Linked DNA regions of Xenopus tropicalis. The protein of the gene in region 2 binds, or shares a complex with, the protein of the main gene of each other region. Links are inferred from orthologs where the notes say so. Each region holds a gene or a part of one and is shown on either strand. Other genes may lie near its edges.

Region 1 (4,165 bases), on a different chromosome or scaffold from region 2:
ACTGTTGTGTTGAATAAACTTGCATGTTTGAGCAAAACTGGTCATGGTGCTGAGTATTGTATTACATCTCTGTTTCCTCCCCTCTCCATCGATCTAGCAACAAACCACAAATACAGTGGAAGAGCCTCTGGATCTGATCAGACTTAGCCTAGATGAACGGATCTACGTTAAGATGAGGAATGACCGAGAGCTGCGTGGACGTTTACACGTGAGTGTTTAGTATAGGTGATTTGTTTTGTGCGGATCATATTTGAAGCGTAAGGAAAACCTGTTTCCTTGTTTGCTCTTTTATACAGGCATATGATCAGCATTTGAACATGATCCTGGGAGATGTGGAAGAGACCGTGACAACCATAGAGATTGATGAGGAGACATATGAGGAGATTTACAAAGTAAATATTATTTTAATTGCATTCCTTTTATTGCATTTACACACGGATTTATTACCTATATATATCTCAGTTACTGGTTGCTTAAGAAATTAAATGAATCTATATTCCGATAAGGTATACCTTTTTAAAAAGGCTTTGTGGCTTAGCCTGCTGAGCAACAAGCACAATAAATATTTGTATTAAAAGGGGCAAATAATGCCATAAAGTGAAAATTCATATAAGATGTGAAAAATTGTAACCCTTAGCAGGGCCGAAACTAGGGGTAGGCAGAAGAGGCCCGTGTCTGGCCGCAATGGTCGATGGGTGCCAAGCAGGTACCTCTACTGCCTAATTACCCTGAGTTCCATCCATTCTGCTCTGAGCCTCGCTTAACACTGCTCTGTCTTGCTCCTCCCTCAACCCATCTGTCACTGTAGCGCTGGTAGCAGGGGCGAATGGGGGAACCAGGGAGGGGTGACGCGTTGACTGCCATGGGCTCAAGCGGCTGTCCCTTGGGGTGCAATTTACTTATCACTCGTCTCTATAGTTGCCATATGTACCACAAGATAGCAGCTCCCTGACACCTTAAAATTGCTGATATCAGAATAGCACTCAATAGTAAGAAAGCCAGTCCAGCTTGGGACTCCTCCAGTTACATGGGAGTAGGAGAAACAATAGGTTGCCTGAAAGCAGTTCTAATGTGTAGCGCTGGCTCCTTCTGAAAGCTCAGACTTGGGCACAATGCACTGAGATGGCGCCTACACACCAATATTACAGCTAAAAATACATTTGTTGGTTCAAGAACAATGTTAAATGGTAGAGTGAATTATTTGCTATAGAAATACACCATAAAATCATGTCAAAATCCCTTTAAACCTAGGCAACGAGGTTTAGTATAGAAATCTAGTTTTCTAACCCATTCTTTATTAAAAAAAAAAGGGGGAAGATAATGGTAAACAAGTGAATTGTAATCTTTAACCCTTAATATCAGTAAAAAGTGCAATTATGGGTTCTCTGGCTTCCTACAGAGTACAGGTATAGGCCCCATTATCCAGAATGCTCGGGACCAAGGGTATTCCAGATAAGGGGTCTTTCCGTAATTTGGATCCCCATGACTTACAGATACTACAAAATCAATAAAACATTAATTAAATGCAATAGGTTTGTTTTGCCCCCAGTAAGGATTAATTATATTTTAGTTGGGACCAAATATAAGGTATTGTTTTATTACTACAGGGAAAAAGGAAATCATTTTAAAAATCTTAATTATTTGATTAAAATGGAGTCTATGGGAGAAAGGCTTTCCGTAATTTGGAGCTTTCTGGATAACGAGTTTCCGGATAACTGATCCCATACGTGTACTGAAAGTAGGGCTGCTACTTGGTTTGGTTTTAATTTTGTCTACCAAAATCAGGTCGGAGTCATTCTAGAAACTTGTCTGAAAAAGTATCTGCTTCCCCTGAACTGTACTGAATGCAGTTTGGCAGGCATTTTACCCACTTATGTGGATTATTTAAGTTTCCATTCTGTAGACAGATGCATAGTTACTATAGATTTTACTGTGTTTAGCATGAAAAATGAAATCAACATATACCATAAAAGCAATTATTTGATGTTTTGCTAACATCTAGTTTATGATGTATGATTAGGGCAGAATCATATTAGACATTGCACTGATCATGAGAATGTGGTATATAGTAGGCCTCGCAAGCTGCTGCTCCTACCTACAATATAAAGGAATTCATGTTTTAGTTTGTCACTTTGTTGGCATCTTTCCCTGATTATCTCCTGCATTAAATATATTCTGCATAATTTTCAGTACCTGTGTGTTAATTTTATTAACACGGTTTGGATTGTTTTGCTTTGCAGGAGCTCTAGTGTAGTGCTGCCCTCGGAACTTAAGGAGAATCAGACAGTATGATTCCCAATTCAGGGTCGGACTGGGCCGCCAGGATACCGGGAAAAATCCCGGTGGGCCCCGGCGGCCCAGACCCGACCCTTGCCCGTGCCCGACCGCTCCTGCCCCGACACGTTAATTTTACGTGCTAGGGGGAGGACATCGGTTGGGAGGCCCTCTGGGGGCACGGGCACCTGCAGGGCCCCTGGGGCGGGACCCTGCCCTAATTTAATTGGTTTAGGTTGAATGTAGGTGTGAGTTTGACACAAGAGGCAGTAATGACATTATGTGGGTATAAAGACTTGCCAGCTGTGAGTTTGTTGTTTAAAACCAGTCCTTTACTTACAGCAGTAACTATTTGTAGCTTCAATAAAAAGGTTGGTTTACCCTTAACTGCACTTAAACCTACTTAAAGGAGAAGGAAAGGCTAAGTCACTTGGGGGTGCCAAAATGTTAGGCACCCCCAAATGACTTAGATCGCTTACCTTTTACCCCGGGCTGGTGCCCCTGTATGGAGAGAACAGCACCAGCCCGGGGTAGCAGCGAGCGCTTCCTACTTCCTATTCGCTTGCGAGCGCATGCGCAGTAGAGTGAAAAGCCGAACTTAAAGAACAAAGTCGGCTTTTTACTCTACTGCGCATGCGCCGGCCGACGGATTTCGCCGGGAGAAGAAAAAGGAAGGAGGAAGTGCTTCCTACAGGTACCCTGGGCTGGTGCTTTTTTCTCCTAACAGGGGCACCAGCCCAGGATACAAGGTAAGCGATCTAAGTCACTTGGTGGTGCCTAAAATTTTGGCACCCCCAAGTGACTTAGCCTTTCCTTCTCCTTTAAAGCTGTGTGTAATTCTATTGTGTTCTAAATTGTACTTTTCTGTAATGCAAAATTTACAACTTTTTTTTTCCCCCTTTTGTTTCAGTCTACAAAGCGGAACATCCCTATGCTGTTTGTAAGAGGCGATGGTGTGGTTCTTGTAGCTCCTCCCTTAAGAGTTGGTTGATTTCCTTCTAACAAGCTGTTGTCCTGTTACACCTCTGGATTTTAATTTGCTATGATTACTGAACCTTTTTTGGATACCCACAGGAACTGCAAGGATCAGTTGGCACTTAAGTTTATCCTTTAAATGGAAATATCTTGTTGCTTTCCTATATTGGTGAACAAATGTGTTTTAATCAAAAACAACCAGGCTAATGGCAGACGCCGTTTTTTTTTTTTTTTATAAATTTGTTTTGATCGTTGTTTATACAAGTGGGGATTGTATAAGTTTTCCTTTCTGTTGACATCAGCTGCATAGTTAATACAGGTTTTACTGTATTATGATCTAATAAATTTGATATTTACCATTTAATCAGTCTGATGTCTGGTAACAGGTTCTGTAATTTATCATTCAAAAAGCCTGTAACCGTTTTCATTGGGCTTGGTGATAATAGTCTGAATGTGAATAGTCTAAATACACACTAGCTGAGGTTCCTGGCATTGCCTGAGGAACTTGATGTCTTTAAAAAAAAGAATACTTAAAAACACGGTTAAACACTTGTACTACACATAGGGGGGAATTCACAAAAGTGGAGAGAGCCTTTTTTGGAGTAAAAGTGATGGAAAACTTTCTCCAGATTCACAAACAGAAATCCGCCTAAGTTCCGACTCAACTACCACTTTTCCGTTTTTGGTGAAAGAAAGACAGTTTACAGACTCTCTTGTGAATTTGTCATTTAAACGTAGTTTTCCTGCCATTTCCAAAATGGAGTAAAGCTCAGTGTAACTCTGTCAGACCAATTCTAAGCTCTGCTGTTTTGCTTTTTCACCCAGTCTCCCTATCCCACCTCTGGTAGGGGCCCCATTGGGGGATCATGAACATGTTAACGGGGATTAGCAGACTCATCGTTAGGGGACAAGTCTC
Region 2 (3,649 bases):
TATGATGAGTGAGTTTTTTTTCTACATTTGTGTTGGTTTATTCTGCAAGAATTCTTTTAGGGGGCCCATTTACTAACCATCGGATTTTAAGTACAAAAAGTCACAGGAAAAAAATGCTGCGACTTTTCAGAGATTTACTATTTGTCTAAACGGCTAAAAATCCATATCTGACAATTCGCAAGGTTAAACTTGCTAAGTTGATGTAAAAGTCAAGGGCAGAGGTCCCTTCCCTTTCATTGAAGATTCTTCATTTGAGGAAATGAGTTTAGTTGAGTTTGAAAATTTTTTTAAAAAAAGACAAATTTTAGAGTTTTTGTAAATGTGCCCCTTAGTGTATTGGTCTTGTTAATGTCGTCATACACACTGTAAATATCCCCTAACTTAAGGTTTTTGACCACTCTTATATTCTTTTGCAGTTATGTATTGCACACTCTTGGCCAGTGCTCAGAGTGAAGCAGAGAAAGAAAGGATTATGGGCAAAATGGAGTCCGATCCTGAACTCTCTAAATATCTATACCAATTACAGGAGACTGAAAAGGAGGACCTGATTCGGGTAAGAGATGATGTTCTTAGAGAGGAGATTCTTTTGCTGTGTTTTCATTTATAGGCATTTATATATATTATTTTATTTTCAGGAGGCACGTGGGCACAGAGACAAGGTTAGGCAGTTAAACGTAGACATGGATTTGGAGAACATGGAAACAGAGCAAGGAGAGGTAGGCATGGAATACTGTTCCAAATTAAGACTTTGTGCAGTGCCAAGGCAATGGTAAAGAAGGAACAAGTGAAGCAGGATAATGTCATTTAAAATGTAACCAATTTCTTTAAAAAGGTACCTAGATTAATAGCATTTGAAATTTTATCCTGCAGGTTAATTACATATGTAAGCCAGTAGCAAAATAGAAGCTGTATTAAGCTAATATGATAAAAGCCATTTGTTTTTTTGTGATAATCCAAGGGTCATTTTGGTTTTGTCTTTTTATTTCCATCTAGGCTTTCGCTCCTCGTCAAGTATTGGACTTGGAGGATTTGGTTTTTGCCCAGGGTAGTCATTTCATGGCAAACAAACGATGCCAACTGCCTGATGGCTCCTTTAGACGTCAGCGAAAAGGGTATGAAGAGGTGCATGTGCCTGCCCTTAAACCCAAACCTTTTGCTTCTGATGAGGTAAGTGGAGTTCTTGATATTGTTGGACTAATTTTCCTTGTGAACTTGGATTGCCTCACTTTTTAATTTTTCTTTCCTTTTACCTGTTCAGCAACTGGTCCCAGTTGAAAAGCTACCTAAATATGCTCAGTCTGGCTTTGAAGGCTTCAAGACTCTGAATAGAATCCAGAGCAAATTGTTTAAAGCTGCATTGGAAACGGATGAGAACCTGTTGCTCTGTGCTCCCACCGTAAGGACTTTTTTCCTTATAATGCAATTTGTACACTTTGCATAATGTGCAAATATACTAATAGAGCCTTTTGTAGTTCACCTTTCAAACACTTATTTCAGTTCAGGTGTTGCTTTCAGTTTTTTTCATTTTTGACCATTTTTCTTTCTTAAACTGAAGTTTCAATTTTAAGGTTGTTCTCTCTGGTGTTTTAGTCATCACAGTTATCCAGACGCAGACTTTGAACTGTTACAGTAGGTAATAACATTCCATAGATGGTGCTAAGAAATGTATCAACTAATGTAGCAAAAATGTAGCTACAGCAGCTGCTGCAGAGCAACATAGGGCCAAAGATAAGAAATGTTTCAAATTAGAACAGTTGGTGATCCCCTCCCCCTTTTCAGAGCTGCAGCTGGGAAATGTGAAAAGATGTAAAATAAAACTTTAATATTCAATTAGAAAAAAGGTCAAAACTAAAATATAGAAAACAGTTTAAAAAAAGTATTTTATTTTAGTAACTTCCTGAAAACAACTAAACTGAAAAAAGTTTTCAGAAGCCGAACAACCATTGTAATGAATGTTTTTTCACTCTACTATGCACAAGGTGAAACTGCAGCAATTCTTAAAGGATGATCAGTTTCAGACTGATGCCCAGAAGTAAACGTTTTATACAATTTAAATTCTTGCAGTGATAGACTTTCTTTTTTTCCCCCAAATCAAGCCCCTTTCCGATATCTACTGGTGAAAAATGACTATGAGTTGTCTGGGCTCCCTCCTACCTTTCCCCCATTACATTAGTGTGAAAATTAAGCATTAGGCATTTCTTTATTAATCGGAAATTAACACATTTTCCTTGTTTATTATAATGACGAAGAAAAAAAGAAATTGGAACTGTGAATTTATTTTTCTCCTTTTGTTTTTCTAGGGAGCTGGTAAAACAAATGTAGCTCTCATGTGCATGCTCCGGGAGATTGGAAAGCACATAAATGTGGATGGCACCATCAATGTGGACAACTTCAAAATAATCTACATTGCTCCCATGAGATCCCTGGTCCAGGAAATGGTGGGCAGCTTCAGCAAGGTAACTTCAATTCTTACATCCCAACTGAGCCATATTTCAATGCATAATATTGGTGCTTTATGAAGTGGGAACATGTACCTAACATGGTGTTACTTACCTCATATGCATCAATACCAACTCCTAGTGTAGCTTTTGCTTATCACAAGAAGCATTCTAACAGGGCATGTTGGGCCTTATTGTCTGCATTTTCCTTTGCAGCGTTTGTCAACATATGGCATTACCGTGGCAGAGTTGACAGGAGATCACCAGCTATGTAAAGAAGAAATTAACGCCACACAGATCATAGTTTGTACCCCAGAAAAATGGGATATCATCACCCGTAAAGGAGGAGAGAGAACATACACTCAGCTTGTCCGTCTGATCATTCTGGTGAGGTCAAGGGACTAGCAAAGCTTGCCATCTTAATCTTTTGTGCCTTGTTTCAGTGTGTAAAGTTTTAGGCAACCTATTAAGTTAGTGGACTGTCCTGGAAATGACTAGTGGAAAGTAACTTATATCTAACTTGAGACTTTTCTTCAAGGATGAAGTACACTTGCTGCACGATGATAGAGGTCCGGTGTTGGAGTCTTTGGTCGCTCGAGCGATTCGTAATATTGAGATGACACAGGAGGATGTCCGGCTTATTGGTCTCAGTGCCACTTTGCCTAATTATGAGGATGTAGCCACATTTCTTCGTGTGGATCCTGCCAAGGGGCTTTTTTATTTTGACAACAGGTATCTGCTTCAACCATAGAATTAAGAACAAACTGCATTTCTAATCATTAATGTTTACTAGTTCATGAATTATGCATCCCAGTGTTTGTGTGTGCGTTTGGCTGTTAGTGGTGCGGCCATTACAGTCATACAGTTGCATATAATAGGAAACAAGGAATGGTCACTATTAAACATAGTAGATGAGCTTGAAAAAAGAGACACATGACAAGTCTAAATTGTTTGAGAAACAATTTTACAATATTTATCTTTATTTAAACATCTTTTCAGTTTTCGTCCGGTGCCACTGGAACAGACCTATGTAGGCATTACAGAGAAAAAGGCCATCAAACGTTTCCAGATCATGAATGAGATAGTTTATGAGAAAATCATGGAGCATGCCGGAAAGAACCAGGTTTGCACTTTTTCTAATGCTTTGGAAAGCAATATAGCTGAAATATGTAACAATTTTGACTTAATTATTTGTATTTATTTTCTAGGTT

Evidence for each region. Proteins that work in one complex are often made in the same cells at the same time.
Region 1: snrnp200 (region 2) and lsm3 share a complex: the UniProt entries of both Homo sapiens proteins name them as parts of the U4/U6-U5 tri-snRNP complex. The link is inferred for Xenopus tropicalis from reciprocal best matches to the Homo sapiens genes SNRNP200 and LSM3.

Annotation. Positions count from the first base shown.
Region 1 is NC_030680.2:132,914,092-132,918,256, reverse strand, and holds the end of lsm3 (U6 snRNA-associated Sm-like protein LSm3), read left to right. Parts: intron 1-97; coding exon 98-208; intron 209-296; coding exon 297-392; intron 393-3,184; coding exon 3,185-3,265; 3' UTR 3,266-3,613; downstream 3,614-4,165. UniProt on the Homo sapiens protein: Plays a role in pre-mRNA splicing as component of the U4/U6-U5 tri-snRNP complex that is involved in spliceosome assembly, and as component of the precatalytic spliceosome (spliceosome B complex).
Region 2 is NC_030679.2:125,093,240-125,096,888, reverse strand, and holds part of snrnp200 (U5 small nuclear ribonucleoprotein 200 kDa helicase), read left to right. Parts: coding exon 1-8; intron 9-416; coding exon 417-553; intron 554-635; coding exon 636-716; intron 717-993; coding exon 994-1,167; intron 1,168-1,258; coding exon 1,259-1,396; intron 1,397-2,300; coding exon 2,301-2,456; intron 2,457-2,654; coding exon 2,655-2,825; intron 2,826-2,976; coding exon 2,977-3,170; intron 3,171-3,437; coding exon 3,438-3,561; intron 3,562-3,646; coding exon 3,647-3,649. UniProt on the Homo sapiens protein: Catalyzes the ATP-dependent unwinding of U4/U6 RNA duplices, an essential step in the assembly of a catalytically active spliceosome. Plays a role in pre-mRNA splicing as a core component of precatalytic, catalytic and postcatalytic spliceosomal complexes.